4 linked regions of the Elephas maximus indicus genome follow. The protein of the gene in region 1 binds, or shares a complex with, the protein of each later gene. Links are inferred from orthologs where the notes say so. Each region holds a gene or a part of one and is shown on either strand. Other genes may lie near its edges. The genes, in order: FLNA, ITGB3, ITGA2B and FBLIM1.

Region 1 (6,995 bases):
TGTTAGGTGCCGTCGAGTCGGTTCCGACCCATAGCGACCCTATTCACAACAGAACAAAACACTGCCTGGTCCTGCACCATCCTTAAAATCGTTGTTATGCTTGAGCTCATTGTTGCAGCCACTGTGTCAATCCACCTCGTTGAGGGTCTTCCTCTTTTCCGCTGACCCTGTACATTGCCAAGCATGATGTCTTTCTCCAGGGACTCATCCCTCCTGACATGTCCAAAGTATGTAAGACGCAGTCTCACCATCCTTGCCTCTGAGGACCATTTAGGCTGCACTTCTTCCAAGACAGATTTGTTCGTTCTTTTGGCAGTCCATGGTATATTCGATATTCTTCGCCAACACCACAATTCAAAGGCGTCAACTCTTCTTCAGTCTTCCTTATTCACTGTCCAGCTTTCACATGCAGGCACTGCAGGAGTGGCCAAAGGAGACAGAGGCCAGGGCAAACATGGGGGCTGAGCGGAGCAAACCAGGGCAGGCAGTGGATGTAAGGTGGAGTATGGCTAGGAGGAGGCAAGGCTTTGGTAGGAAAAGTGCTGTCTCTTGGAGAGCAGGAAAGAGGTGGTAGTCATGCTCAGACAAAGCCAGTCTCATGGAGTGTGGGGCTGCCTGGTGGGCTCTCCCTGGAGTGGATGAGAGGAGCTAGCCCCAAGTCTCATGTGGGGGGGAGAAGAAAAGAGAGGGGGCTCTGGTCAGCTGGTGCGGGCCGCAGACCAGCTCTCCAGGGAGGTTTGCTCAGGGTGGGGAAGAGGTATACACGTGGGGAGTGGCCAGAGGAGAGACCATGGTTTGACCAAAGACAAAGACCCTTCCGAAGAGTTGCTGTTGCCCAAGTTTTAGAATCAAGGTGGGGCCCTGCTCTGTCTCAACTGTGACAAGTAGCATTGGAGTCCCTGAAGACACTACATTGCCCTATACAGAGGGGAGAGCCATGGGCTGGGCAGGGGAGGAGGTGGCCGTTTGGGCTGTGAGCTGGGCAAAGGCAGCCTCGTGGAATCTTGAGTTTTGGCAAGATCAGATCCCAGCCCCTCTCAGCCTTTCTGCAATGCTGGCCCCTCTCCCAGAGATGCTGGTTCTGGCTTCCCTTACAGCCTGCTCAGTCTTCCCCCGTGCCACCCCTCCCCATACTGATGCAAGCTGTTTCCTTATGAGGTCAAGGAATTCTAGGTTTGCCTTCTCCCCAGGGAACACCACCCCCTTGCACCTGCCTCAGCACTCTGCCTCCTATGTCCCCCCCCCTTTTGTCCTCACTATGAGGTCCCGCCACAGAGGGCACCAGGAAGCTGAACTGTGGATGGTCACCCATGGCCGTGCAGCTCCATCCCAGACCACCAGACACTAGGTCAGGCCTTGACCATCCGAGCTAGGATGCCCTCTGCACCTCCATCACATAGAGTGGGGTCCGGAACCTCGAGTCCAATAGTTCATTCATGAAACATTTCTTCAGCCAGCATCTGGTGCTCCACGGCCCAGCCTCAGAGCTCTCAAGGAGGGAAAACTGTTCCCAGGAGCTGGTCCTGGGAAGGACAGGCAAAGGAGACACTGGAACTGAGCCTTGAAAAAGACAAATTTCTCTGGTGGACAATTGGAAAAGGGATTGCAGACAGAGGTCACAAAAAGCAGCCAGTGCAGCGGGGGTAATGGGCTGTGGAAGCCGCGATTCTAAGGCAAGAATAAGAAAAATGAGTCTCTCCTTTAAGGATGGAGAATGGCTTCTAAACAGTGGATTGTACAACTTGGAATCCCAGCAAGATCAGAAGTTAAAATGGAGAAAAATATATCACCATAAATACATTTCTCAGCATCCATGTACAAGCAAACCATTGATCACTGAGCTACTAAGTTTCTCTTTAAGATAAGGATTTTTTTTTAGTGCTAAAAGACACTTTTCTCTTCAAGGGTATTAAAGCTCCTTTGGGTTTTAACTAGTTTTCAAATGTTTTGAAACATTGCTCCAATGGTTACAAAAGTTGCGAGACAATTGATATGTTGAACACTGTCACAACCAATATTAAAACACTGGTTAGTTGACTAAAGGTCTCTCAAGGAAAGTGTTGTGTTCCAACCTTGGAACAGGTCAGTTTATCTTGGTACTGTTGGGATGACTGGTGGGAGGAATGCAGCTGACTTTGGTAGTTTCCCTGTATCTTCAACCGAAGGACACCTGGTGCTGTACAAACATTTATTCCGCCCAGACCTGAAAGAAGAGACAGAGCTGCTGCATGTGTTTTGTGTGTGTGGTGGGGGAGAGGGGCAGTAGTTGATTTCACACGGAGGTGGCAGTCCCGAACACTGCTAAGAAACCACTGCCTCCTTAGTGCTCCCTCCACCTATTGTACCCCTGGCTTGGAGCGCAGCTGCAGAAAGGCATGTGGTTTCCCTCCTTGATGAACCACGGACCGCCTTGGCTGTGAGCCCCAGCACAGCCCCCTCCTCGGTCTGTGAGTTCCCATCTCCAAGTCCAGGTCCCTCACCTATCATGTGAAGATAACCCACTGCCCTCCCCAGCTGGGGGCGCTCCCACCAGAGGGGGCAGGAGGAGAGGGAACCCCTGGCACTGTTAGAAAGCACCCAGTAAGGGTCAAGGTGTGAAAGGTCTTTGAAAGCAGAGCTAGCCAAGACAGCAAGACCAGTAGGGCCATCAGTGCCTCTTTATCAGTGCTTCCCAAACTGTAAATCAGCAACTTAATTCAGCAGGTGGTGCCTGAACTATTTCGTTCCTTACACCCTCCCTCCCTGTTGTCCGTTTCTTCCCCTCTTCCTGCCATCCTTTTTTCCTTCTATCCTCCCTTCCTTCTTTCCTTCTATCCTTCCTTTCCTCCTTCCCCATTTTCTCCCTTCCTTCCTATCTTTCCCCTTTCCTTCCTCCCCTCCTTCCTTCCTCACTTCTTTCCCTCCTTCCCCCTTCCTCCCTTTTTTCTTTCCGACCTTCCTCCTTCCTTCCCCATTTCTCCCTTCCTTCCTTCCTCCCTCCCTTCTTTTCTCCCTTCCTCCCTTCCTTTCTCCTTTTCTGAGGAAGTAGAGTAGAATAGAAAATATCAGAGTGCTTTGTAGGTAGTAAGGGAAACTCTCGTTTTGCAAGTCATTTTGTTTCATTCAGTTTGTGTGTGTGTGTGCGCACATACATTGGCTAAGGATGTAAAATGTGGTTCTTACTGCAGTTTGTGGGCAAACATGTTAAAAAATACTGTTTTACGTGACCTTCCCCAAGGAAGTGACATTTGATTTACATCTGAAGCTATCAGGCAAGCACAGGCACACAGAACAGGAAGGAGCATGGCTATGCCAGGGTGTGGCTGTGCCCACTCTGATCACAGACAGGCTGCTCATTCCCAGGCTTGGGGACTGCATCTAATCAGGTGGGATGGGCCGGGGGAAGTCTTCAGAATCCAATATGCTTCAGCTGCCCACTCCAGGCCACGCCTGGCACCCAGCGGGGTCAGATTCATAAGGCTCATCCTGGCCTCAGAGTCACTCTAGTCCAGCCCCACTGGAGCCTTGCAGGTAGTAGGTGCTCAGTGAACACCTGCACCTGCCTGTTGCCCCCCTCCCCATCCACCAGGGCAGCGGAAACCGACTTGCTTTGCCAGCCCAGGGTTGGGGCAGAGGCAGGCCTCATGCAGGGGGCCATGGCTCTGGGGGACTTCCTGGACGAGGTGGCCTCAGAGCTGGGCCTTTTCCGGTGGGGAGTGCTTGGCCCCCCCAAGCTCAGCAAGCCGGTGTGGTCCCTGCCGACCCTGCGGGAGCTCGGGACGTCCCCCCACGCCCGTGCTGGCGGCCCTCGCCGGGTGGTGAGCTCATCCCGGGGGGCGGTGTCGCCAGTGCGGCCCAGGCGCTCGAGCTCGCCGCTCACCCCCGCCCCCGATTCCTGGGCGATTTTTACCAATTAAGGCTTTCTCGCCCGGCCGGGCCGGGCCGTGCGCGGGGCGGGCGCGGGGCGGGGGTGAGGCCAACAAGAAGGCGGGCGGCAGCGGGCCATTCGCGTGGAAGCGCGCGGCGCACAGCGGACGCCAGCGGAGCCAGGAGGTGCCGGGCACGGGCGCGAAAACGAGCCAGGCGCCACCCCGCGGTCGCCGGCCGCCCGCTGGGACAGCAGGTAAGATCTTGGAGGCCGGGCTCCGCGCGGACAGGCGCCGCGCTGCACCGGGGCGAGGGTGGCAAGGCGGGCGGAGAAGCTTAGAGAACGCAGGCGCCAGCACGCGCCCAGGCCCGGACCAGGTGGAGCTGGGGTGCGTCAGCAGGACACCAGGAGTGGTGCCCGGGAGCAGCTTCCCCGAGTTTACCCACCAGCCGGTGTGTGCGTCAGGAGTCTGGGAGCCCAAGGCCATGGGAGTCCCTGAACGTTTGGTAGGAGATGGGTGCAGGCGTGGGTGTCCATGAGACTGCTGCTTCAAGGCTGTCTGAGAAGGAAGGACCCAGAGGGTAGGACCCTGTGTGGGTTGAGGGTGAGTGGACACCTGGAAGGACACCTTGTAGCTAGTGTGCCTGCTGGGAGGGCACGAGTCCACAGGGCACCAGCTGCCAGGGCATGGGAAGCTGGTTCCTGGGCTTTTGCGCTCTGTGGCTCTATGGAGCTGTGGTGGGGTGTGGCCAGGCACCGCCAGGCCAGATTCACTGGCTGGGCTCATCCCAGGTTGGCTTTGAGTTGGATGTTCCCTGCCAGCCAGGATGTGAGTAGCTCTGGCCCCAGATTCCCATGCCACTGGGGCCAGGAGAAGTGGGTGAAGTCAGCTGACTGTCCCGTTTGTATGTGGTGCTTTGGGTGGCACAACCAAGGTGGGCACAGAGAAGGGTGCTCAGGAAATGGGCGCCTTCCCCTGCCTCACCTAGACTCGCTGTGCCAGCCCAGGCCTCTTTTCATTGTGCCAGTTGGCTGTTCCTCTCCCTCCCAGTGCTCCCTGGCTACACAGGCCTAGAACCAGCTGGCTCCATAGGCGTCCCAGCTGAACAGCCTCTGCACTAGGGGCTATAGCTGGAGAGCCAGGCCTGGGGTCTGAGGGCCAGGGTTGGGGTGGGGGCTGGGTGTGCCTAACATCCAAGAATCTACTCCAAATAAGGGAAAATATGAAAGAGCTGGATTTTGGCTTCCCCAGACTGCCCGATCTGGGGGCTTTGAGATGGAGCGCCATCTGGTGGTGATACTCTGTCTTCTGGGTGCAAGGACCCTCTACACTCCCACCCCTCCCTCTCTCCAAATAGGGAAAGCCTAGGGCTGGAAGCCAGGACATCCAACTTATGTCCCCTTGTTTGCTGAAGCTGACCACTGGATAGTTGCTCTGACTCAGTTTCCCTGCCCTCTGTTTGAAGGTTAAGGAATGAACACAGATGGTCCCTTTGGATGGCACTTAGTGGACACAGAATCAATTCTTGATTGCCATCCCTGGAGCCTGTTTTCCAGTTGGAAGCAGGGGAGGGGGAAGATGACCAGAAGAACGACTCTAAACCCGTGGCCTGGCAGGGAGGGGTTCATCTGGGTGCCCCTTTACAGCTTTCCCTCCCTCCTACACCCCAGCCCTCAGACACGGTGGATGGGAAATTTTCTACAGGTGTCTGAGAGTGTTCAGGAGAGGGGCAGAGCATTTGAGGGTGGACCTCAGTACTGGAAAATGCCATCTGGACCCCCTGCCACCACCGTTGGTGGAGAAAACTCAGTGGGGTGACAGACAACCGGAAAGAGATATGCTGGGAGGCTGAAGAGATGCTGGCTGGAGATCCCAGCCCCACTGCAGGTCACGCAGACACCCAGGGCCAAGTAAGAATCAACCATATTTGGGCATGACTTGTTGGAGGACCCAGGCCTCCTTCTCCCACTGGTCTTAGCAGAGAAAGGAATTACTACTAGCCTGTGCCTCCATCGAAGAATCGAGCAGTAGGGCCATAGACATGCCTTTCCGGAAAAAAATACATAAGAGAAGGGGATGTGTTGTGATTGCACAGGATGCCCTGGGCTTTGCCGGTCCCTGTCTTCCCAGGGCCTCCCCACAGTCTCCAGAGTTATCAGCCAGAAAAGAACTCCCCACTGCCCTTGGGCCATAGTCCCAGCACCTCGGCAGGCCCTCCTCAGCCCCCACATTTGCCCTGGCTTCCCTCTCCTTTGGCCACCCCTGCAGTGCCACACTGCCCAAAGCCGCTCACACCCCAGTGCTTACAGCCTGCCAAGTCTTCTTTGAGGCTCCCCTCCCCCAGCAGGCCCCTCTGGTTCTGGAAGGCTACCCCCATCCCTCCTGGGGGGCACTCAGCTCAGGGGTCATTCCACCAGGAGAGCAAACCTCCCCCTCCTCCCCATCTGGTCCCCCAGGTGGGTGGTGTGGTGCGGTGGGCTGGCTCACTGTCCCCACTCGCATCACGCCTTGTCCTTTGCCAGCGCTCATTGGCACTCCTGGCCCCTTACAGGGTTGGCTGGGAACTCCTGGAGCGCCTGCCACTGCCCTCCTGGCCCAATGCCCCATTTCCTCCTCGGGCGGGCAGGAAGGCAGGCAGAGGGCCGTGGGCAGCGGGCAGCACAGGTGCAGAGGCCAGGGGCCGGCAGACTCGCCAGGCCAGCGGGGACAGGGGCCTGGGAGGTGGCTGGCCTGTGGGCTGGGCCGCCGACCAGCCGTGACTCCCTCGTGTTCTCCACGCAGAGGGCTTGAAGAGAGCCTGGCCCCAGCTCCCCCCGCCCCGCCCCGGCTCCGGCAGATGCTGCTGGAGTGTCTGCTGGGCAGACTAGGCCTTTTACTGGGCACCCAGGCCTTAAGCCTGGGAGCAGGTTACCCCATAAGCAAGGTACGCACAGGTTTACTTGTGCTTACTTACTAATCCGTGGTGCAGAATTTCACTTGTTTTTCGCATATTGTGAAATTGTGCACTACAGTTTAGTAAGTAAACACAATTAAGCCCGTGCTTACCTTGCTTACTGGTTAATCCGCCTCTGCCGCGGAGGGGTGCAGAGACCCGGGGAGGCAGGGACCCGGGCGGGGAACCCAGGTGCCTAAGCCCCACGTGACTGC
Region 2 (7,177 bases), on another chromosome or scaffold:
CTTCTCCCCACACCAGACTCTCCTGCTCTAGAACAGCCTTTCTATGCCACTCCCCCCCAGCCCTCTTCTGTATCCTTTCAACACTGTATGTCCCCAACATAGCTCTCCTACTCTCACCCCACCAGTTTCTTCCCAGGGACCTGCAACCCTACCCCCAACACTGGGGTTGTTGTTGAGTGCCATCAAGTCGATGATGATTCATAGTGACAGAGCAGAACTGCCCCATAGAGTTTTCTGTAAGGTAATCTTTATGCGAGCAGGTCTTTCTGTGCCAGAGCAGTTGAGATGGTTCAAGACACCAACCTTGAACTGTCTACCTTCCATTTAGCAGTAGAGCTCTTAACTGGTGCACCATCAGCGCTCCTAACACTGGGATGGGGAATGTAAATATAATAGAAACTGCTTTTACTGCAGGGTCTTTTACTCAGGGGTCTGACTCTAGAGCCCCTGCTCTTAAACACTACCCTGCCTTTCAGAGAGAGTCTGGGGCTAGCTTAACACAGTCCACCACCGCTGCTGAGAATCACCCCAGTCACACCAACAAATCAGTGAACACATCTCCTGAAGGACCTCTCATGTAAGGAACTGCCAACCAAACTTAGGTATGTCAATGCAGTGGAATTGTAATGGGCCATTACAACTGTGTAAACCACATCTACACGATATACTGGGGATGGGAGCTTGGGGGAGACAGCAAAATAACATATCTTCACCAACATTGAGCTAAGCACCATGCTGGGCACTATCTTATGTTATCTCGTTACTTCTTAAACTGTTAGGAAAGTATAATGATTATACACAAAAGTGAATTTAGAATGTTGTGGATGTAAAAAACAAAGGAAATGAAAGCAAAAAATGTTTTAAGTTCATGGAAGCAGTAGGAAACAGCTGAGTTGCCCTCATAGATTTCTCCATTCCCATCAACAGCAGCAGCATCTAACCCAACGTGCTAACATCTCCAGGGCAGAATGCTGAGGATTCATATTTCTGTGACAGTCATCAGGCTATTCACTACAGGCTGAAGATGGCTGGACCTGTGTTAGTCTCTATCACCTGGGAAGTTTCAGTAATGACAACCTAAGCAGCCCCCTATACATCAGTGGTTAAGAGCTTGGCTGCTAACCAAAAGGTCAGCAGTTCAACTCCACCATGCCCTCCGTGTGAATCCTACGGGGCAATTCTACTCTGTCCTATAGGGTTGCTATGAGTCGACAGCAGCGGGTTTTGGGGGTTTTTTTTTATACATCAACTATTCCATTAAAATATTGTCACCCTGTTCAGTATGATCTTTTTACATATATTGTCTATACATACATAGAGGAGTCTGGAAGGCATTCGCCAAAGTATTTTAAATTAGTTATCTTTGAAATGGACTTATCGATTCTTTTTTTTTAATCCCTTCTACTTGGTCTAAATTGTTTTACAGTGAGTATTACCGTTTTCATTAAAAGTATATGTATGAAAAAAAGACCAGACTTACAGGCCTGACAGAGACTGGGAAACCCCTAGAGATATGGCCCCTGGACACCCTTTTAGCTCAGTAACGAAGTCACTCTTGAGGTTCACCCTTCAGCCAAAGATTAGACAGACCCATAAAACAAAATAAGACTAAAGGGGCACACCAGCCCAGGGGCTAGGACTGGGAGGCCAGAGGGGACAGGAAAGCTGGTAATAGGGAACCCAAGGTGGAGAAGGGAGAGTGTTGACATGCTGTGGGGTTGTTAACCAATGTCATAAAACAATATGTGTACTAACTAATGAGAAACTAGTTTGTTCTGTAAACCTTCATCTAAAAAAAAAAGTACAGTAAAATTTTTTTTAAAAGTATATGTATGCACACTCGTGCGTCCTCTGAGGAAGGCTTGATCCCAGAGATTCCAGAGCAAGAGCTCTCCCGGGAAGATCACCAGGGTTCCGGAAGGACCAAGGGCAGCACCCCAGGGCTGTGCCTCACTGCCCCTTCACCACCCTCCCTGGCAATGCGACCAAACGTCGACTGCCCTGGAAGCTGATGATTCGCGCAGCAGCAGGAGAGACAAAGCCTGGGATCCAAACCAGCCCCAGGGACCCTTGCTATGACTCCCCGCATACCCTAAAGATTTTTCTGGTCCGGGGTCTGTCACTGAAGCAGAGGCGCTGCCAGGGTCACTGTAGGGGGCAGCGCCCTTATCCTGCTCCGAAACGCTCCCGCGGGGAGCCACCAAGTTAGAAAAACTTGGAAGTGTGGCACAGGGAGAAAAGAATGTCAAATAACTGGGGAACGCGCGGGTACACGCTAACTCGAGAAGCTACAAGCACATCCCCCTGCCAACGCGCGGGACAGCCCCAGACAGCCCACGTCGCCCCGGCTCCCGGGCCGGGCGGGTCTTCCCTCGCACAGCTGGGACCACCCGGGATGCTCGCAGCCAGCGCTCAGCACCGGGCTGGCTCGGAGCTGCGCCCACCGCACCGCGCGCGCCGAGGCCGCCCCAGCGAGGCGACCAACCTGGCCACCGGCTCCGGGGTCCAGGCCCGCCCCCTGGCACCGGTCGCCTGTCACCCCTGCCACCGAGGGTACAGTAAGGTCCCCAGCTCTGGACTCTGATGGCCCCAGCCGGGGCCCGGGCACTCCGAGAGCAGCAACGCGGGCCCGGCCCGCCTGAGTCTCCCGGCTCCAGGTCTGCAGACTCGGCTGCGGCGGAGCGGGGCGCAGCCCCGTGGAGAGCTTGTCCCTGCGGCGGGCGCCGAGCCTCACTCACCTCCGACGCCGACGCCCGCCAGCGCCCCCAGCGCCAGCAGAGCGGCCCAGAGCGCCCGGGCCCGCCGCCGCGCTCGCATCTCGTCCGCTGGCCACGCGCTCCGCCTCGACCGCGCCCGCCACCCCACAGCGAGCAGCGGTGCCCACGGCCGCTTTTCCCGCAGCCCAGGGGGAGGGGACGCGGTGGGTGGGACGACGGGGCGGGACGTGGCTTCGCGTTTCCTCCCGCCGGCCTTTTTCTGGACCCTGCGCGGGAGAAGGGGTGTGGGAAACCGCGGCTCCTGTCTTGCCGCTCGCCTCCGCCCACGAGGATCCGCCTACCCGCCGGCAAGCGGATGCCGAGCCAGAAAGGGTCGTGGGAGAACCTCCTGGTCCAAGGGTCGGCCCCCTGGCACTTGGCACACTCAGGAAGGCGGGGCGCCTGCGGGCCTTTTCCTGATCCTCCAGAGACACGCACAGGATTTCTCTTTCGTCTTACTCCTGCGGTACTTTCCATCGGTACCAGGAGTTTCTTTCATTCATTTAAGTGGCAAACATCTGTTGAACATCTACTCTGTGCGGCGTACCAGTTTAGTCCTTTATTATCTACTAACGTTTTCTTAGTGGCGCCCTGGTAGCACGGTGGTTAAACGCTGGGCTGCTAACTGAAAGGTACGGGGTTGAACCCAGCAGCCTTTCAACTGCTTCCGTAAAGATTACCTATGAGGCAGTTCTGCTGTGTCCTAAGAGGGTCGCTATGAGTCAGAATCGCCTGGAGGGCAACGGGCTGAAAGTCTTCTTGGATTAGTTTTGTTTCTTTAGACTGTAAGCTTCTTGAGGACAAGACCACACCTCAAGCTTGTGTAAGCAGTGATGTGTCCAAAAAGGGCCTCTCTGCACAAATATTGTAAATATTGCACATAGTAGATACCTGATTACCGTTTCAGGACACAGCCAGTGCACTGCCTCCAAACTCAAACTTACAGGTTTGAGGGCGTCCTTGTATATTCCTCACAGGCCTCCTGTCCACTACTCCGTAGGATCCTTCCTCTAGTCCCCTGGGTCTTCCCCAGAAAGAAAATCTTTGGAGGCTTAGAAAGGCACCCCTAGGGCTATGGCGCCCAGGGAGTGGCTGGGGGCGGGGCAAGCCGCTGAAATGGTTTAAAAACAAGCCCTGAGCGGCCAATCAGAGAGGGACAGAAAGTCTCTCCAGCTCCTGGGCTTTCCTAAGGCCTCTCAGGCTCCCTGCCCTCTCCCTAGACACACAAGATCTCTTGACAACTGGCCCTGACTCACTTATCCAGCCTTATCTCCCACAGAAGCTCCAGAACGTACTTATTCCCAGATCCCATCCTTTCTCACTGGTCTTCCGTCCTTCTTCCACCTAGAAAATTCCATCTATGTTTCAAGACATCTCAGATGTCATCTCTTCCTTGTAATCTTGCCTGACCTCCCCCCTTCTCCAGCACCAGCTGCACCATCTCCTCAGACCTCTCAGCACTAGGATACACATTAATAGTAGCACACATAACAAAAGTGTCACTAACCGTTTGGGAGGGAATAGAGGCCCAGGTAGCTGGGCTCCCTGACCTGGGCTTTGAGACTCCAGCTGCATCTACCACCCCAAGCTGCTGAGGGCCTCTAGACTGGAAGTCATTTCAACAGTGCTGGGAGTGTGAGGGTTAGAGATAGCTTGCAGCGTCTGGAGAAGGCTTAACAATGTGCAAATCTTTTTAAATCACTTTTGACACTTTACATCCTTGAAAATGTCATTGCCCTGAAGCAAAATTCAGGTCAGCGTCCTGGTTACCTCTCTGCCTAGCAGTTTGTATTGTAATTTGCTATTTATTTATTTTAAATTGAAGTAAATTTTACATACAGTGAGAGGCACAAGAGATGTGAAGTAGTATCTCGCTACAGAAAATTTTATCACCCCAGAAAGTTCCCTTGAGTCCTAGTCAATCTCCACCCTCCCCCCCCCATAGGCAACCACTCCAGTTCCGATTTCCATCACCATAAATTAATTTTGGTTTTTCTTGAACCACATATAAAATGGAATCATACATTATGTACTCTTTTGCATCTGGTTTCATTTGCTCAACAAAATGGTTTTGAGGTTCACCAGGTTGTTGTATATGTCAGTGATTCATTCCCTTTTTGTTGTTATTGTGATATATACCCAGACCCATATGTAATAAAATATCTTCCATTTCAACAAATAATTCCTTTTTCTTGCCGACGTGCCCCCATTATTTGTTGAGCACTTTCTTACTTTCTGGCACAGTAAGATGTTCTACGCTCATCTTGCACTTTCCCTACCCTAGCCTTGGCATCAGCAGTTTATTTGCTGAACCCTGGTTTCTTTTAGTGGGCAGCAGTATTTAGAAACCAGATATGAGTTTGTTGCTATTGGGATGTGTAATAAAGAATCAGACACCATTTTTTGATGTTTGACTGCTAGCATCTTTTAAGCCTCACCTCTCTCTCCTCCCCATCTGCCTCACACCTTGACAAGATGAAATGAAAGCCCAAATGCCCCCTTCTTTGGCACTGACAGACATCAAACCACATGAGGAAACCCTCAGCCTAGTCCCAACCTCTAACCACCATAAAAACCCCAAGCTTGTTTCCTTTCCTTGCTCTCTCAAGCCATTTTCAGACCTCCTTGGGAATCACCATGCTGTCTTCCAGAAAGCCTCATTATGTGAGTATTAAACCTTTGTGTAGATAGCCTCTTGGTATGGAGTCATTAGCCTTGTTGTTTGAACCAAATTTTGGATTGGGGTTCATTATTCATCTGTCGACGGCTATAAAGGGTGTCACTGATTATAGAGCCTCTTAGTAGACAGAGCTGGGGGGAGATGGGAACACACACATACACACACACACACTCATCTATATTTCTTTCTCTATTTGTATATTAATATAGTGGTTAAGGTGCAGCTCTTAACCACTGTGCCACCAGGCCCTAGCAAATGTGCCAGCAAGTTCTCTACTCTGTTCCCAGCCTCAGCAACTGTATTAGTTTCCTAGGGTTGCCATAGCAAAGTACGACAAATAGGGTGGCTTCTAAGAACAATTTATTTTCTCACAGTCCCTGAAGGCTATGAGTCTGAGACCAGGGTGACAACTGTACCATGATCTCCCTAAAGGCTCTAAGGGAAATCCTTCCTTGTCTCTTCCAGCTTCTGGTAGCTGCAGGCTTTCCTTTGCTTGCAGCTGCAGCATAACTCCACTGTCACTTTGCTGCCTTCCCTCTATATGCCTCTGTGTTTCTTCTCCTCTTTTATAGGATGCACCCCATTCAGTATGACCATGTGTTAACTGATAACATCTTCAAATATCCTGTCTCTAAACAAGGTCACATTCACAGGTACCAGGAGTCAGGAGTTCCTGCTGAACTCCCAGCCTTAAGGATGGGAAAGGGGCTAGTCCATTTACATTTAGTATAATAATTGATAATGGCATCCTGGTGATGCAGTGGTTAAGTGCTCAGCCGCTAACCCAAAGGCCGGCAGTTTGAATCCACCAGCTTCTCAGTGGGAGAACGATGTGGCACTCTGCTTTTGTAAAGATTATAGCCTTGAAAACCCTATGGGGCAGTTCTACTGTGTCCTGTGGGGTTGCTATGAGTGAGAATCTACTCAACGGCAGTGGGTTTGGGGTTTTTTTGGAACTGGCATTTTAGCTATACTTCTTTGTGGTGTGTGCTATGTGTGTGTGTGTGTGTGGTTTCTCTAGGAATTAAATATGCGTCCTTAATATATCATACATACTCTTTTTAGAATTAGTATTTTACCACTTCATGTAAAATGTAAGAACCTTACAACAGAATAATTGCACTGACAAAACACTACCCTCTATGCTGTCATTGTCAGACATATTACTACTAAATGCATTGTAAACCCTGCAATATAAAATTTTATTTTTGCTTTAAACAGTTGCCTCTTAAAGAAGTTGAATAAGGTGATAATAAATTTACCCACACATATTTACTATTTCTGTGGCTGCAGTTCCAAGTTTCTATCTGGTATCATTTCCCTTCTGCCTAAAGAACTTCCTTTAACAATTCTTATAATGAAGGTCTACTGGCAACGAGTATGCTCAGCTTTCATTTGTTTCACCCGCATTTTTTATGATATTTCTTAGATATCAATTTCTAGGTTGACAAGGTTTTTTTCTTTCAGTAGTTTAAAGATGTTATTCCACTGTTTTCTGGCATCCATTGTTTTTGAGAAAGTCATCATTTATATTCTTGTTTACTGTCTTTTCCCTCTGGCTTTTTTTTTTTTCTTTAACTTCTAATTTTGAAATAATCTTATAGAAAAGTTACAAAATAGTAAAGAGAGTTCCCTTTTACCCTCCACACAGGTTCCCCTAATGTTAACATTTTATATTGCTATATCATATGAAAGCTTTTTGGAATTGGAAAAACACAGAGGAATATGTTCTCATTATTAT
Region 3 (7,701 bases), on another chromosome or scaffold:
CCTTTCCCTCAGGCTATCAGCCCTAATTAACACACTGAACCAAAGGTGCTTGCATTGCAGGTCCCATTCCTTTGGTGTAGTTAGTTCCTTCTTTGGCATTTCCCTAACCATTCCTGAGGCTACAATTGATTGAGTGGTCACCTGAGAGGAAAACCAAACCCTGCTTATCTGGGCCAAGGCTCGGTGTTCCTGGCTTTCCTCTCGAATTCCCAAAAGAAGTAGCGTTTTGAGTTTGAGAAGTAAGTGCTGGGCAAAGGAGGTTCTTGATTGTCCCCTACCTGTTAAGTGCTCATCATCTGACTCAGAAGCATTATTTTTTGGATGACTAGCATTAGAAAAAATGAAATGGTCTGTTTCAAGTGACAGGACTCATTTTTCTTTGTTTTCAGCCCATGTAAATATTTAAATAATACAGTATTAACATTTCCGTGCTGCTTCCCTTCAGCTTGTAGATCGAGCCATGTTCTGGCCTCTCTGCCTTCCTGGAGGCAGTTTTCTTTAACTTCCAGAATAGTGGTTTTAAAACTTAAAAAAAAGAAGGAAAAACAAAATGACCTTACTTACAAGCGTAACAGACTGTATTTAACTTTATCACATATGATAGAGATATATATGCTGTAAAATGAGGGAAAGAACTTTCTAATAAACCAATGATTTGTGGAAACTTAGCAGAGTCTGTCGTGATCGTTCCCTGTTCACTCAAGTTGGGAAAAGATGGAGTTGTGGATTGTAAGTAACATCCTGTTTAAAGTGACCAAGCAGTAGACTCTTGTGAACCAGTTGTTTGTGATATTTGAAACTGTGCCTCTCAAAGCTTGGACTGCCCACTTCAAAGGCAAAAGATGGCTGTGGGCAGAAGTAATAGGAGTTGTGTTTCTCTCAGTGTTAGGTAAGTGTCTCTTTCTGCTCCCTCTTTCCCCGTAAGAACTTCTGTTTCTTCCCTTTTTCTTAAATATATAATCTATGTATGGCATGTAGGTGCTCATTAAATGGATTTGGAATTTCTGGCTTTGATTTTTAGGATTTTGGATGGACTTAAGGCCAGTGGGATTACAAGATTGATCTACCTAGTCTTTGCCCTCCAGGTGGAGTTCTGTATACCAGGCTTGGCTTCCTCTCCTCAGCCCTTTAATGTCACTGCAGTCAATACTTGAGAGCCTCTGCTTAGTATAAGGAAATACATCCCAACTGTTACTGAGCCGATAAAAGCTCCTACTTTTCTGTATCAAAAATCACAAGAGGCAGGGAAGTTTAGCGTGGAAAACTAACCACAGATTTGTCGTAATAGTTTCCCCTCTCCTTAACCTTTCAGGAAAGAAGACTGGTGTTCATTTCTTTCCTAGTGTCTTTGATAAAGCTATGCTCTGTCCACCAAGGAGAAGCTCTTAAAACCCTGGGTTGGGTGCTCAGATCTGACTGTTTCCTAAAATGGCAAAGATCCCTGCCCAGAAGGAATGGATGTTAGAAAATATAAAAAGTGAGTTTCTGAGAGCGGGCAAGCGTCCTTGTTCTGATAAGGGTTCCACTTCCCTCCCAGCCACCTGAGCTTGAATCGTGAAATTACTCCATCTTCTGTACCCCCCATGACTAATTCAGGCGTAGTCAACCACTTCCGTTCTTATTTGCAAGAGATACTCTTATTAACTCATGTTGGAATTACTGCAGCATCTTCCGGGCTGGCCTCCCTGACTCTAGGAACTAATAGCCTGCCCCATGTAAGTTTACTCGCTTTTTAGAATCTGAGTTCAATTAATTTTGTATTCACTGCTTCTGGTAAAATTGTAAACTCTGAGAGGACAGAAACTGATTGTTACACTTCCTTTTTCTTATCCCTTAGGATGTCTTACGTAGAATTGAGCACATGTAAACATTTTGATTGTATGTTCAAGAAGACAGGAGTAAAGTAAGATACCACAAACCATGGATCATGCACGAGGATTCAGTAAGGGAACATTTGAAGATAAGAGATTTTTCTCGAGCCTCCACATCACCTGGCTCAGAGCCAGGCACATAGAAGCTCAGTAATTTGTTGACTAAAATAAAACCTTAGTAGAATTCAAATTCAGTGAGGGATTCTTGGACTCAGTCTGATGGGATGAGAAAGTGGGACCAACGTGTCAGCACTTCTCTGCCAACTATCAGAAGGGAGATCAACCCAGCTCTGACTCCATAAAAATACCCGTAAGAACTAAACAACTCTCCCTACCCAAATCTGATCACCGTCTGTATTTTCAACTCTAGTTAATGATGCCACTGTCTGGCCAGACACCAAAGCTAGTAGCTACCTTGGATCCCTCCCTACACATCCAGTTACTGATTCTGTCATCACTTTTGTTCCTGCCATTAGTACTCGGGCTCAGACCTCATCACCTTTAACCCAGAGGATTGCAGTCACTGTCCATCTGGTCTTCCCACTAAATCCTTTTCTTGCCATAGGCAGCCAGTTTAATCTTCCAGATCAAAGCACAATTGATCAATGTATCCCATCCCCTGGCTTTAAAAATCTTAGTGATTTTCCATCTCGTATGGGTTAAAGTTCATTTTCCTTAATATGGCATTGAAGAACCTCCAGTGGTTTGATCCCAGCTTTCCGTCTCACCCTCGTGCAAATTCACCCCTTTGAGCACCCTATGCTGAGTTAACTAGTACTTGCTTTTCCCTATAAGTGGCTTTTGTTGTTCTGCTGTTCTTTTATGTTATTCCTCTGCGTAGAAACTCCTTCATTCTCAGACAAAAGGCAACGTAGTATAATGGTTAAGAACATGGACTCAAGTGCAAACTTGTGTTTGAATCCTAGTTAGTGGCACCTATTAGCTGTGTAACTTGGGCAATTTACCTAAAACTATGCACAGTTACGTGTGTTCATGTCTTAACTCCCTCTGCACTAAGTTTTTTAAGGATCTTTGATAATGATCTCTGTATCACTCAGTGCCTTGAACAGAACAAGTACTTATTGAAAGTTGTAGTGGACTATGAATTAATAAGGAGCTCTGGTAGCACAATGTTCAAGCTCTCTACTGCTAACCAAAATGTTGGCAGCTCAAACCCACCAGCCGCTCTGCAGGAAAAAAGACCTGGCAATCTGCTCCCATAAAAATTACAGTCTATGAGGCAGTTCTACTCTGTCCTATAGGTTCACTATGAGTCAGAATTGACTAGACCACACACAACAGCAACGTGAGTTAATAGCAGCTCAGTTGAGGACAGTTGGGAGGGTGAGTAGAGGACTGGGTTAAGGATTCATTCTAACAAATGTATTGCAGGCCTGCCAGGAGCTTGGCACTGGAAGTCAGCAGTGAAGAAAGCCCAGATTAAAGTTGAAGGAGCGTTTAACCTAGCTAGGGATAGGATTTTGAGCTGTGTGCTGAGATGGTGAAGTATGAGGGGAGCTGAAAGGATTCCAGAATGGCACAGGGTAGTTGGGCAGTTTGATCAGAAGGCAAGTATGGATGAAGAGAAGAATGTGGCTATGTTGCCTTTACATCTAGACTTCTTGAATCTCCTTGAGAACAGCTTTTTTGGGAAGGCATGCAGTGCCAGTTAGACTTAGCACTCCTGTCCTCTTCCCCGTATCCACAGAAGATGACCTTGCCTTTTTGCTCAAAACTCTTTCTTCTTTTCCCACTGTGTGACCCTGTGTTTGCATCTTTATCTTTTTGTGCATATTTCTGCTCAGTCTTTCTTTTAGTCATGCATACTACATATTAGGCCCTGGGACTGCAGAAAGGAACCATGCTTTGAATTCACAGACAAAATCCAGTGAACAGACCATGATTATATAGTGTGGTCAGTGTTAGCTCTGGGTGCCAGCCCGAGGAGTTGGAGGAAACTTCCCCCAGGCGATGATCCCAGCAAAATCAAGTCTTAATGGTTAGACAAGAACTTTGTCACCCAAAAAGGAGCGAGAGCCTGCCTTCAACTGAATAGCTTGTACATAATCTCAGAGCCTGTGAACCAGAATGCCCTGGAATAATTTCAAATTGTACCCATTTCCTTGTCCCTTAGGCCAAGGTCCATTCACTGTCCCCCCTCCCAACACTGGCTGCACTGCTCTGGCAGCACTGAGACTTGGCCCAACATGGACAAGGAGTGAGGAAGCTGCTGCCTCAGTATGGCTGGCTGAGGCTGTCCAAAGCCCTAGAAGGAAGAAGTGATTAAGTACCTTATCCAAAAGGATACAGCAGCCTGAGGTCTTATCAGGAGGCAGCAGCTTCCTTCTTCCCCCACTTTTGGCCAAGTCAATGCGCCATAGCAGCGCAGCCAGCTTGCGGGGGGTGGGGGGCAGGGCGAGGCCAGGCGGGAAGGTTGTAGAACTGTGGGCTATAGTGGAGGCGTACAGACCAGTTAATTCATGATTGTACTATCCCAATAAAAAGTAATGGTGACTTGCACTAGAGTGGTGGTAGTGGAGATGGAGAGAAGATTCAAGAGAAATAATTGAGAGGTAGAACCACCAGGAGTTGGTGATAAACTGTTCCCAGGGAAAGAGAGGAGTCATTCCTCTCAGCCCTAAGCCTCACCCCTTTCCTGGCAATCCTGGAGAACACATGGATGTGTGCAGGGGCTGTATAGCCCTTTGCTCTATCCACTGCTCAGCAAGTTGCTTTGGGCCCCAGCTTGATAAGAAATGACTTCCTGTGGTGGAAACTGAAGGAAAGAGGAAGAAGCTGGCCCATTTCTGCCTAGGAGATTGTGGGAGAAGGAAGATGGCCAGAGCTTTGTGTCCACTGCATGCCCTCTGGCTCCTGGGGTGGGCACAGCTGCTCTTAGGACCCGATGGTACCCCTCCAACCTGGGCCTTGAACCTGGACCTGATGCGGCTCACTGTCTACACAGGCCCCAATGGTAGCCACTTTGGGTTTTCACTGGACTTCTACAAGGACAGCAAAGGAAGGTGAGCCTTGTGGGAAGTTTGGGGGTTGGGAGAGAGAAGGAACCCCAACCTGTCACTGCTTCTGTGAGCCCATTTCTGATGGAGGTTGAGCAAGACGATTTATAGGGTCTATAGGGTCTCTATGGTCGGAACCCACTGAACAGCACTGGGTTTTGGTTTGTGGCTCAGGCTGAAGTCTGGTTAGAAATAGTGGGCAGGGACCAGCTCAGGTGAGAGTGTCAGGGAGAGGACACCAGGGAGGAGATAGGCACTAAAACTACAGCAAGAACAAAGGGAAGACAAAAGTTGATTTATTTTTTTTCTCAAGGGTCAGTTGTAAGACCCACTCCACTTTCCTCCCCTCAAAATACAGAGAGGTGCACGTCTTAAGTTGACTTGCAAAACTGTAAAATAGTCTGCTCCCACCTTGCAATTCTACTCCATTTCCCTTACCAAATATGCATATTTGAAAAGAAGCAATAGAGCATTAATGGTTGGGATTGATTAGGCCATGAAATCAGACTGCCGAATTCCCCCCTATTAATAGCTGTGTTACCCTAAGCTACCTAGGTAGTGTGGTGGACACTGTGATGTCCAGCTTCAGGAAGTAGCAAGGGCAGACAGGCTTCAAATGTCAGCCCTTTGTGAGATTTCCTCTGCTGAAAAGAACCACCTTGCCCAAAGTCAAAACCTTTCCCAAGGTGGCCCACTTCCACTGACTGACAACTCGTGTGTGTGTGTGTGTGTGTGTGTGTGTGTGTGTGTGAGATAAGGGTCTGACTGTGATAATTTTGAAGGGTCTTTCTAGCTCCACGGCATGGAGGGGAGGGAAGGAGAGTTGGCCCAAGTCTTTCTTTGGACCTGCGTATGAGTTCCACTTCTGCCCACTCCTTTCACCTCCTTTCTACAGGTATTGGTTTCATGGGTACTTCGGAAAAAAAAACCCTGAATGCGTTTTAAAAAAAAAAAAAGCATTTTGTATATTGAGCATTACTATGTATTTGGTTGGTACCATGCCAAATGTCCCTCACACATTTACTCCTCATGACAACAGTGATTGGCTGGTATTGTCCTCATTTTACATAGGAAAGGTTAAATGACTTTGGACAAAGACAGTAAATGGCAGAGCTGTGATTTGAACCTAGATCTGCTAGGGTTCTCAGCTCTATCAGCAACCTTCCCCCACCCCCGCCCCCCACCCCCAGGCGCCCTCTGGCTTTCTTCATTCTTCACCATTAAAATCAATTCTCAGAAAGGGATCTGGTAAGGAATAGTCTTCAAACGAACATTGTAGGGAGCATCTGAACCCCTGGCTTTTGGTGGGACGGAAAGGGAGAGGGGATGGAGGTAGTGTGCAGAGCTTGGGAGGTCTTTTTCATGAGGAATAGCAAAACCCTCGTGTCCAAATCAAACCAAATGGTTATAGTGCCAGCTTTAACCTCAGTTCGCTGTATTGCTTTAGGAAAGTGATTTCCTCCCAGAGTCAGTTTCACTGTCCATAAGGTGAAGATGCTGGCCTCGACGGTCTGTGAGGTCTTGTTGAGGAAAGCTGGTCCAGGCCCCCACGGCACACCGTCCTCTGGGCAGTGCTTCCAGCGTGGGCACTGGGCATGGGCCACGCGGGAATGCGTGCAGCGCTCACCCAGCTCTCCTTCGCAGCGTGGCCATCGTGGTGGGCGCCCCTCGGGCCTTGGGTCCTAGACGAGAGGAAACTGGCGGTGTGTTCCTGTGCCCCTGGAAGGCCGAGGGTGGCCAGTGCACCTCGCTGTCCTTCCACCTCAGTGAGTCCGGAGCCAGGAGGGACGGAGGAGGGGCCAGAGGGGGCGTGGACAGCCGGGCTTCAGCGCCCCCACACCTTCTTCTGTTCTCCAGCGGATGACAACCAAAACGTAGGCTACCAAACCCTCCAAACCTTCAAGGCCGGGCAAGGACTGGGCGCGTCGGTCGTCAGCTGGAGAGACAACGTTGTGGTGTGGCCGCGGGATAGGGGATAGGGAGCAGGCGGGGCCGGGGATACGTCTGGTGGGAGGAGTGAGGTGGGGCCTCAGTCCCAGCCCCGCGCCCTTCCTTACTCCTCTGTGGCCCTGCCCCAGGCCTGTGCTCCCTGGCAGCATTGGAATGTGCTAGAAAAGACCGAGGAGGCCGAGAAGACGCCTGTAGGTAGCTGCTGGGTGGCTCATCTCCAGAGCGGCAGCCGGGCGGAGTACTCGCCCTGCCGGGCCCGCACCATGAGCAAGATTTACGAACAAAATCGTTTTAGTAAGCTCCGCCCCTGCTTTGGCCCCGCCCACTAGCTGCCCAGCGCTCTAACAAAATCGGGTCGCTTTGAGTCGGAATCGACCCGACGGTTTTTTTTCTTTAGTCTAGTCCCTCCCCCAGCGCGCCAAAACTCTGCTTTCAGTCTGGTTTTGCCCTTTCAAGGTCACGCCTCTATATTACTCCTGGCCCCGCCCCATGGCCCCGCCCCCGCCGGGCCCAGGCTCGGATCCACGCTTCTCGATCCGCCCCTTCACTGACCCCACCTCCTTGCGCCCTCTAGTGCTGGACAGACGCTACTGCGAAGTGGGCTTCAGCTCAGTGGTCACCCAGGCGAGTACCGAGCGTGAGAGGCGTGGGGGCGGCCCAGGAACAGGGCACCCTCTCACCTCCAGGGCTTCCCTTTTAGGCTGGGGAGCTGGTGCTTGGGGCCCCCGGTGGCTATTATTTCTTAGGTATGTCCCTCATCCCATCTGTACATCTCCCGCCTTTCTCCCAGCTTCCCCACCTAAGGGAGACCCCAGACATCTGGGCCCCCACACCCTCCCCCTCCGTCTTAGGGCTCCTGGTCC
Region 4 (7,229 bases), on another chromosome or scaffold:
TTCTAGAGCATAAATCTGTCTGTTTCACCTCTACCCAAAAGCCTTCCATTGCTCCCTACTACCATCAGAATAAAGCCCGAATTCCTCTGGCCTCAGCCTCTTTTTGACCACCCTAGACCACTCACTCTTCCTCGATGGTGCCTTTCTCCCTTACTTACCTTTGAGTGTTTCTGCCACCTGTTTTCCCTTTCCCACTCCCACAGGGTGAATTTTCGGCTAATCCTTAGAGGCCCAGGAGCTTATCACCTCCTCCATGAAGGCTCCCCTGATCCCTGACCTCCCCAGGGAGGTCAGTTGTCTGCCTCCACAGGGTGATGACAGCCCTGTCACACGACATGCTGGCTCACTCTCCACGTGTCTGCCCTCTCCCCCTGACAGTGTGTGCCTTCAGCTGTGTCTGCAGAGTCCAGCTCACAATGCAGGCACCAAATCATAGATGTGGGGGCAGGGTGGCTCACAGTGAGGGTCAGGGGAAGGCCATTTGCCATCTCTCAGGTGGTTTCTGCAGACAGTAGTGTGCGACCAAGGCCGAGCCTTGGGATGGGGTGAGTCAGTCACACCAGCTTAGGAGCTTCCCCAGGCACCCAAGGCTTGTGCCCTGGGATAACACTATGCCCTTTTTCTACCTCCCCCTTTCGGGCTATGCCACCCTGACATGGCCCCAAAGGACCCTAATGGTGGACCTGGAGTCCAACTGCCAGTCATGGGCCTCTTTCAAAGTTCACCAGCCCTCGTGGGCTCTCTTTGGTGACTACAAGATTACAATAATAAAAACAACAATGGCACTCACTGATAAGAATACTTGCTGTGTGCCAGGCACTGTGCTGAGTGCTTTACATGCCTCAAAGCTCACCTAATTCCCAACACAGCTATTTTACAGTGTAAGCCCCAAGACATTAAGTCATTGGTCCCAGCCATCGATGGCAGACCCGGAATTCTAACAGAGCACCATCCGACCACAGGGTCCAGGGAATGACCGCGGAGACACACTACGTCTTCCTCAGACATGCTTTTTCTTCCCTGAATGTCACTAACCCACTGCCGTCTGCGTCGCTAGGGCCCCCAAATTCTCAGCCTGTTCTCGCCCCAGAATGATCCAAACCAGAGCAAAAATCCTGTGGTGAGCACATTCTGGGCTGTCTCCAGAGACTGCTGGGGACCTTCAGGATGCCCTTTCACGTCCTTCTCGCCCTGCTCTGACCCCTATCCCCCAGCCCACCCGCTCTGGGAAGTTGAGTCGCCTGCTTTCTTGGAAGACTCCGGGGGTAAATGTTCCAGTCCTGGAGCCAGATGTGCACAGCTGGGCAGCCCCCTGCCCCCTCCCTTCTAGTGGTTACTGCTGGGACTCCAGGCCCCAAGGGAAGGGCCTGAGCTGGGTGGGGCTTTTCAAAGCCCTGTAAGGCCCCAGGAGGGGATGGGAGGCCCAGCTTCCTTTTGGCCCACTGCCTCCCTGATCACCCTAGAGGGAGTAAGTTCCCTGTGGGGCAGCCTCCCAGCCAGCAGGGCCCAGGGGATCCTCCATCCCTAACCTTCCTCTCCCTGAAGGTGAATCTAAGACCCAGTTGGGTAAGCAAAGAAAGTGGGAACAAAGGGAGGGAGAGTCATTTCCTGTTAAGAGGAAGGAAGGAGGCTGTGATCCAGCCAGCCACCCAGCCTACAGCCCCGGGGCCGAGGACAGACTGGCTGGTAGGGGGGCGCTTCAGGCAGAGCCCCCTCCCTCTGCTGTCCGCCTTCCTCCCAGCGCCCAGAACCACCTCTAAGCTTTGTTCTTTAGCACCCTCACAAAGTAGCCTGTGTTTGGGTCCTGAATTAAACTTTGCTGGGGGTGGGGGTGGGACTGTGCCCCCCCCCATTTGGAGCCTATAGCCCTGGTTAGGGGTTCCTGTTCCCTCTCTCCCACCCCAGAGAAGCACTCAGAGCTGGGTTCACACTGTGCCCACCTCTTTCTTGCTCGGTGACCCTGAGCAGGTCACTGGCCCTCTCTGGTCCTTGTTTTTTTTTTCATAAAATGAGAATAAAGGGGTCTGTCTTGAATAGTGGCTAAGAGGATAAATGGAGTGAGTGATCGAGATATTGGTGCTTGGTAGGTGCGAAGGAGGACAGCTGGTTATTCAGACCTCAAGGGCCTGGGGCGGGGTGGAGGGTTTCTGGGCTCTGCTGGAGGTCCCAGAGAACTGGGACCTGGTTTCCACCATTATTAAGAGCAGGAATGTAGCCGCTGCCCCAGCCTCTTCCTGGGGTCCTCAGATTTGGGATGCGGGAGGATCGAAGTGAAGATCACCCCAAGGGGACACACCTTAGGGGCCGCCCAATCCCTCGTCTCCCCAGCCCCCGACGGGGATCCGAGGCCCGAGAGGGGCTGCCCTGGGCCCCTTCCCCCCTTCGCCTGACCCCAGCTGGGAAGAGGGGCCCGGAGTCCTTGGAGCTCCAGAAAGCCCGGCGGCCTCCCGCAGGCGGCGGGGCAGGGCGGCTGGCCGGGTCGCTGTGGGGCGCCGGCCAGGGACTTTAATTCGATCCATGTGCGGGACGCTGGCTCTTTGTGCGGGAGCTTCCGCCCTGCGCGCCCCTTTCCTGGCGCCGGCTCCTGGGCAGGGACACGACCCTCCCCGCCGTGAGCCCTCCCCCAAACCTGCGCCCCCCTCCCCCACTCCGGGGACAGAGACCGAAGGGCAGAGACGGAAGGCCCCCTCCTGGAGCGCCGGGGCTGGGGTCCCGGCTGGAGGGGAGGTGGGCTCCTGCCAAGGGCTGCCCGCGCTGTCACCTGTGTGTGGCGGGGCAGGGACGGGACGGAGGACGGATCCCCCCCCCACCCGCTTACCTGGGCCGCCGCGCCCGGGGCTCTGCTCCGACGCCCCAGCCGGCGAAACCAGCCGCCGCACTCCCGCCCCGCCGCCTCCCCGCCCCTCGCTCCCTCCGCCCCCCGCCCCGCGCCGCCGCCTTACCATAAAAGGTGACGCTGTGGGGAGGGGGTCTGGGATCCCCGCCGGGCGGAAGCGGCCCCCACCTGCCCGGCCGCGCCCGCACCGCCCCCTCCCCCTCCCCCCTCCCCCTCCCTTTGTTCCCTCCACCACTCCTCCCTTCCCCCTCGGCCCAGGCCTGGGGGGCAGGAGACCTTCCCTGTGGCCAACCCCCCAAGTCCTTTGTGGACCCTGAGGGGTTGTTACTCCACTCTCCCCTCCCCCAGGTCACCTGGATCGCGGCCCGACCTGTTCTGTCAGATGGAGGTGGGTGCTTATATCCCTGGTTTGGGCTGGGGTTTCCCAGGGTCAGGAGGGTCAGGAGGATCTGGGTTGTATGGCTTCCCACTAACGGTGTGACGCTGGCAGTCACTCTACCTCCCTGAGCCTCAGTTTCCTCATCTGTAAAATGGAGATAACAGCCTGCCTCTCCAGGTAGGCCTGAGGGTAAAAGGTGATATAGACAGCAAGGAGTGATGTATGTTGGGCTTTGGGCTTTTTCAGGGGTGTTGGGGGGGGCTGCGGGGGGGTCTCTGAGATCCCCAGTGGAGCAAGTCACCTTGGTTTGCTGTCCTGTGCCCCTTAAGCCTTTTACATGTGGGCCCCAGTGGCCTGAGGGACAGGCCTCTCCAGGAGGGACGCCTCACCCAGCGCCGCGGGCCTGGGAGACAGGGCTCAGCTGGCAATCAGGTCACCTGGTTTGCCACGCCTGGGCCTGTCACTGATGTCCTCCCTCCTGCCCCCTGAATTTGTCCCCCTCCAGGCTGGAGTAGATAAGACATGGAGAGGGGAGGGGCCAGAGATGGAGCTGGGATGGGCCGCCTGGGTCCCCAGAGGCCTCAGGAACATTGCTGGGAAAAGGAATCTGGGTCTGATTCAGAGGCAGATTGTTCCTTTGATTAAAGCCACAGTGGCTGAAGCCATCTGTGGGGAGGCCAGGCAGGGCTGGCTTTCCCCTGCGGGCTCTGCAGGGACAGTCAGCACCCCCAGGATAGCTCTGGGGCTGCTCTGAGGGACTCACTCCTGGGGGCTAAGACGGGTACCTAGACACCCTATCCCATGCTCTCTTCCTTTACCTTCCTAGATCCCTCACCCACTGCTTGTGACCCCCTCCGTTGTTCCCCTTCTCATCCCCTTTTTTCATTTGATCTTCACAGCCGCTGCCCAATAACAACAGCAGTAATTGTTGCTACTTGCCACAGACTCGATTTCTACTCATGGCGACCCCTTGTGTTCAGAGTAGAACTGCTACATAGAGTTTTCAAGGCTGTGTGACCTTTCGGAAGCAAATTGTGGGGCATGTCTCCTGAGGCGCCTCTGAGTGGGTTCAAACTGCCAGCCTTTGGACTGGTAGTTAAGGGCTTAACTGTTTAGGCCACCCAGGGTTTCCAAACAGCAGTAATAGTAGCTGTCATGTATAGGGCTTCTTCTGTGCTGGTGGGTCACCTACAGTGCCTCTTTTACACTGAATCCCCATGAGAGCCTTGTGCGGGAGAACTGATCAGTCCTGAGTCACAAATGAGGACACTGAGGCCCTGAGAGACTCAAGGCCACACGAAGGGCTAGTGGCGGAGCAGGATTCAACCTCAGACCAGTGGGTATCACTGCTGTGCTAGCCCTAGGGCTGGGCAGGACTGCCACCCTTTACAGAGGTTTGGAGACGGGACTAGAGTTCTACCCGCAGAGTGAGACACGGACTTCAGGCTGCTTGGGCTCAGTCCCTTAGAGTGGCAACTGTGCGCCCACTTAGCAGCACTCTTTGGAGTGAGCTTCGTATGCCCTCCACAGGAAAAAGGAGGGAGCCACTCAGTGCCAGAGCTGAAAAGGCCTTCAGGGGGAAGGGCACCATCCAGGGGTTTTCAGACACTTTTGGCCATAGAACCCCCTTTTCCAGTGATTTGACCCAGAAAACTTATTTCAAACAGATAAAAATGGAGCTGCCATCTTTCACCCCGACAGTATCCCCTGAGCTACCTCACTGCACCCCAGGTGGGGACACGGAGGCACAGAAAGGTTGGTTTTCTGGGGGCCTTATCCAAGGTCACACAGTCTAGAATGCAGGCCTCCCAACATCCAGACTGAGCTTGGCTTGAGAGGGTCTCAGGGTGCTGCAGGGGCCCAGACGCCACCACTCTCCTGCCGTCCTGCCCCCGGCTGCCTATCCCACCTCCCCTGCTGCTCCTGGGTGGAGAGGAGCGTCCTGCCAAGGGTCTCCTGTACCAGCTCGGGTGTTGGGTGTTGGTGTCACTGATCGGCAGGTGCCAAGGTTCCTGCAATGGAAACCCAGGAAGTGGGCTGGGCGAGAACACACGCCCTTTGTCTGCCAGCTCAGAGTCCTGCTCCCTGCCTCCCTCCCTGCCAGGCTCAGACCAGCTTTCTTCTCCCTCAGATGGCCTGGTGGGCCAGGGGGGCCAGTCCTCTATTAGGGTTGTGGCAGGTGAGACCCCAGGTGGCAGGAACGGGGTAGGGGAGAGGTTTGGGGACAAGATCGAGGGCAGTGGGATTTTTTTCTCCCCAAGACTGCTGGGGAGGAGGGCACCGCTTGCCCACAGAGGGTGGTTGGTGCTGACTCAACAAACATTGGTCAGGTACCTATTATGTGCTGGACACAAGTTGAGGAGCCAGTGGGGGTCAAGTCCTGTCCTCACCATACTTGCAGGGGGTGGAGGAGACGGACATGCAAAGCAAGTTAATACCACTAACTACCAAGAGTAAAACGTGCTATGAAGGAACAGAAGAGGCTGAGACAGAATAAGGGGTGAGGGGCTGCTCAGGGAAGGCCTCTCTGAGGAGATGACGTTTAAGCTGAGATGAGGAAGAGCCAGGCATGAGAGGAATGTTGTTAGTTGCCATCAAGTTGGCTTCGACTCATGGCAACCCTATGTACAACAGAACAAAATATTGCCCAGTCCTGTGCCACCCTCATGATTGCTCGAGTCCGCTGTTATAGCCACCGTGTATTTTGAGTTCCTTCTAACCTTATTCCAGTGCTATAAAAAAAAATTTTTTTTTTTTTCAGGCAATATTCTGTTGTAATTCATAGGCTCATTGCCAGGCCTTTCTTCCTACTCTTTCTTAGACTGGAAGTGCCACTAAAATCTGTCCTCCATGGATGACCCTCCTGGGATTCGAAATACTGGTAGCATAGCTTTTGGCATCACAGCAACATGCAAGGCACCACGACAATACAATAAACTGACAGACGGGGGTGGATGAGAAGAACAGAGGCAAACGTTCCAGGGAGAAGGAGCAATGGGGAAAATCTGGGCTTTGGGGTCAGACTTAGGCTTAATGCCCAGCTCTCTGGTGCTGTCTGTGTGACCTTGGACAAGACTCCCCCTCCAAGGCTCTGTTTCTTCACCTGTAAAGTAGGGGAGCTGGACTGGATGCCCTCGAATGGGGACATGAAGATTCCATCTGCAGGACTGTTAGGGACAAAGGCACTGAAGGGGCCTGGCCTATAGTTAAAAAATAGTTAGTGCCCACAAATTGAAGCAGTTGTTATTCTCGCATCACTCTCTCCTGGTTTCCAGAGCTCTCTGCTCACACAGTCCGCACTCTCCTCTCCAAGAATCAAGACTAGCCTGGGGAGATCCGGGTGAAGGTGTCCGCTAGCCTGTGGTCATGCAATTTTTCTCCCAGGCTCCCTGAGCTGCAGCCCCCGTGAGGGACCTGGAGGGAAGCATCTGCCTAGCTGCCCCTCCCCTTGGCAGGCTCCCCTCTGGCCAGGTCAGAGCAGAGCTACCCTGCGCCAGCCTGGGGGTGCCGGCTGCGCAGCTGCATGAGGTTACACTGCAGAGTGGGGTGTCCACCCTTGGCAAACAGCCTCCGAAGACCCCGGGCCTCCCCTCCCAGGGGCTCCCCCCCGTCCTTCGTTCATCCTCCAGTCTGCCTGCTTGGAGTCAGGTCAGTTGAACACCTATTTCCCAAGTTCCTAGTGTGTGTCAGGTCTCATGGTAGGGGCTGGCAGGGGTGCAGCAGTACAGAGAAGTGAGAGGTCATCGCACAGGCGCAGGGGTGGGGGACAGTCACAGATATGAGTAACATCAGTGTCTGTGAGGGGTTCCACTCTGCTGGCCTGTTACCTTGGGCAAGTCACTTCTCTTTGAGCCTCAGCTTCCTCTTGCAACCTGTGGGTAGCAGTACCTCCTTTGTGGCTTTGTTATAAGGACTTGATGGGATAAATGTGGATAAAAATGCCTAGTGCTTAGTAGGTGTCCAGAAATGAACTCCTTCCTTTTTCCCACCACATAGAGGATAGAGGTTTCGGAA

Evidence for each region.
Region 2: the proteins of FLNA (region 1) and ITGB3 are in contact, whole or in part, in an NMR structure (PDB 2MTP), measured with the Homo sapiens proteins. The link is inferred for Elephas maximus indicus from reciprocal best matches to the Homo sapiens genes FLNA and ITGB3. Residues at the interface, in NP_001104026.1 of Homo sapiens: Gly2236, Arg2264, Ala2268, Gly2269, Gly2270, Leu2271, Ala2272, Ile2273, Ala2274, Val2275, Glu2276, Gly2277, Pro2278, Ser2279, Lys2280, Ala2281, Ile2283, Phe2285, Asp2287, Gly2291; in NP_000203.2 of Homo sapiens: Lys742, Ile745, Thr746, Pro771, Leu772, Tyr773, Lys774, Glu775, Ala776, Thr777, Ser778, Thr779, Ile783, Tyr785, Arg786, Gly787, Thr788.
Region 3: the proteins of FLNA (region 1) and ITGA2B are in contact, whole or in part, in an NMR structure (PDB 7SFT), measured with the Homo sapiens proteins. The link is inferred for Elephas maximus indicus from reciprocal best matches to the Homo sapiens genes FLNA and ITGA2B. Residues at the interface, in NP_001104026.1 of Homo sapiens: Thr2263, Gly2267, Ala2268, Gly2269, Gly2270, Leu2271, Ile2273, Ala2274, Val2275, Glu2276, Gly2277, Ser2279, Ile2283, Phe2285, Asp2287, Arg2288, Lys2289, Gly2291, Cys2293, Val2295; in NP_000410.2 of Homo sapiens: Trp1019, Lys1020, Val1021, Gly1022, Phe1023, Phe1024, Lys1025, Arg1026, Asn1027, Arg1028, Pro1029, Pro1030.
Region 4: the proteins of FLNA (region 1) and FBLIM1 are in contact, whole or in part, in a crystal structure (PDB 4P3W), measured with the Homo sapiens proteins. The link is inferred for Elephas maximus indicus from reciprocal best matches to the Homo sapiens genes FLNA and FBLIM1. Residues at the interface, in NP_001104026.1 of Homo sapiens: Met2207, Gly2208, Thr2263, Arg2264, Gly2267, Ala2268, Gly2269, Gly2270, Leu2271, Ala2272, Ile2273, Ala2274, Val2275, Glu2276, Gly2277, Pro2278, Ser2279, Lys2280, Ala2281, Ile2283, Phe2285, Cys2293, Glu2306, Phe2311; in NP_001337080.1 of Homo sapiens: Lys7, Arg8, Val9, Ala10, Ser11, Ser12, Val13, Phe14, Ile15, Thr16, Leu17, Ala18, Pro19, Pro20.

Annotation. Positions count from the first base shown.
Region 1 is NC_064846.1:2,091,857-2,098,851, reverse strand, and holds the start of FLNA (filamin-A), read left to right. Parts: upstream 1-3,980; 5' UTR 3,981-4,102; intron 4,103-6,995. UniProt on the Homo sapiens protein: Promotes orthogonal branching of actin filaments and links actin filaments to membrane glycoproteins. Anchors various transmembrane proteins to the actin cytoskeleton and serves as a scaffold for a wide range of cytoplasmic signaling proteins.
Region 2 is NC_064837.1:53,123,293-53,130,469, reverse strand, and holds the start of ITGB3 (integrin beta-3), read right to left. Parts: upstream 3,013-7,177; 5' UTR 2,818-3,012; coding exon 2,739-2,817; intron 1-2,738. UniProt on the Homo sapiens protein: Integrin alpha-V/beta-3 (ITGAV:ITGB3) is a receptor for cytotactin, fibronectin, laminin, matrix metalloproteinase-2, osteopontin, osteomodulin, prothrombin, thrombospondin, vitronectin and von Willebrand factor.
Region 3 is NC_064837.1:50,890,011-50,897,711, reverse strand, and holds the start of ITGA2B (integrin alpha-IIb), read left to right. Parts: upstream 1-4,696; 5' UTR 4,697-4,706; coding exon 4,707-4,894; intron 4,895-6,532; coding exon 6,533-6,654; intron 6,655-6,745; coding exon 6,746-6,843; intron 6,844-6,966; coding exon 6,967-7,132; intron 7,133-7,412; coding exon 7,413-7,462; intron 7,463-7,538; coding exon 7,539-7,584; intron 7,585-7,689; coding exon 7,690-7,701. UniProt on the Homo sapiens protein: Integrin alpha-IIb/beta-3 is a receptor for fibronectin, fibrinogen, plasminogen, prothrombin, thrombospondin and vitronectin. It recognizes the sequence R-G-D in a wide array of ligands.
Region 4 is NC_064821.1:55,496,349-55,503,577, reverse strand, and holds the start of FBLIM1 (filamin-binding LIM protein 1), read right to left. Parts: upstream 3,012-7,229; 5' UTR 2,943-3,011; intron 2,895-2,942; exon of another isoform or gene 2,819-2,894; intron 1-2,818. UniProt on the Homo sapiens protein: Serves as an anchoring site for cell-ECM adhesion proteins and filamin-containing actin filaments. Is implicated in cell shape modulation (spreading) and motility.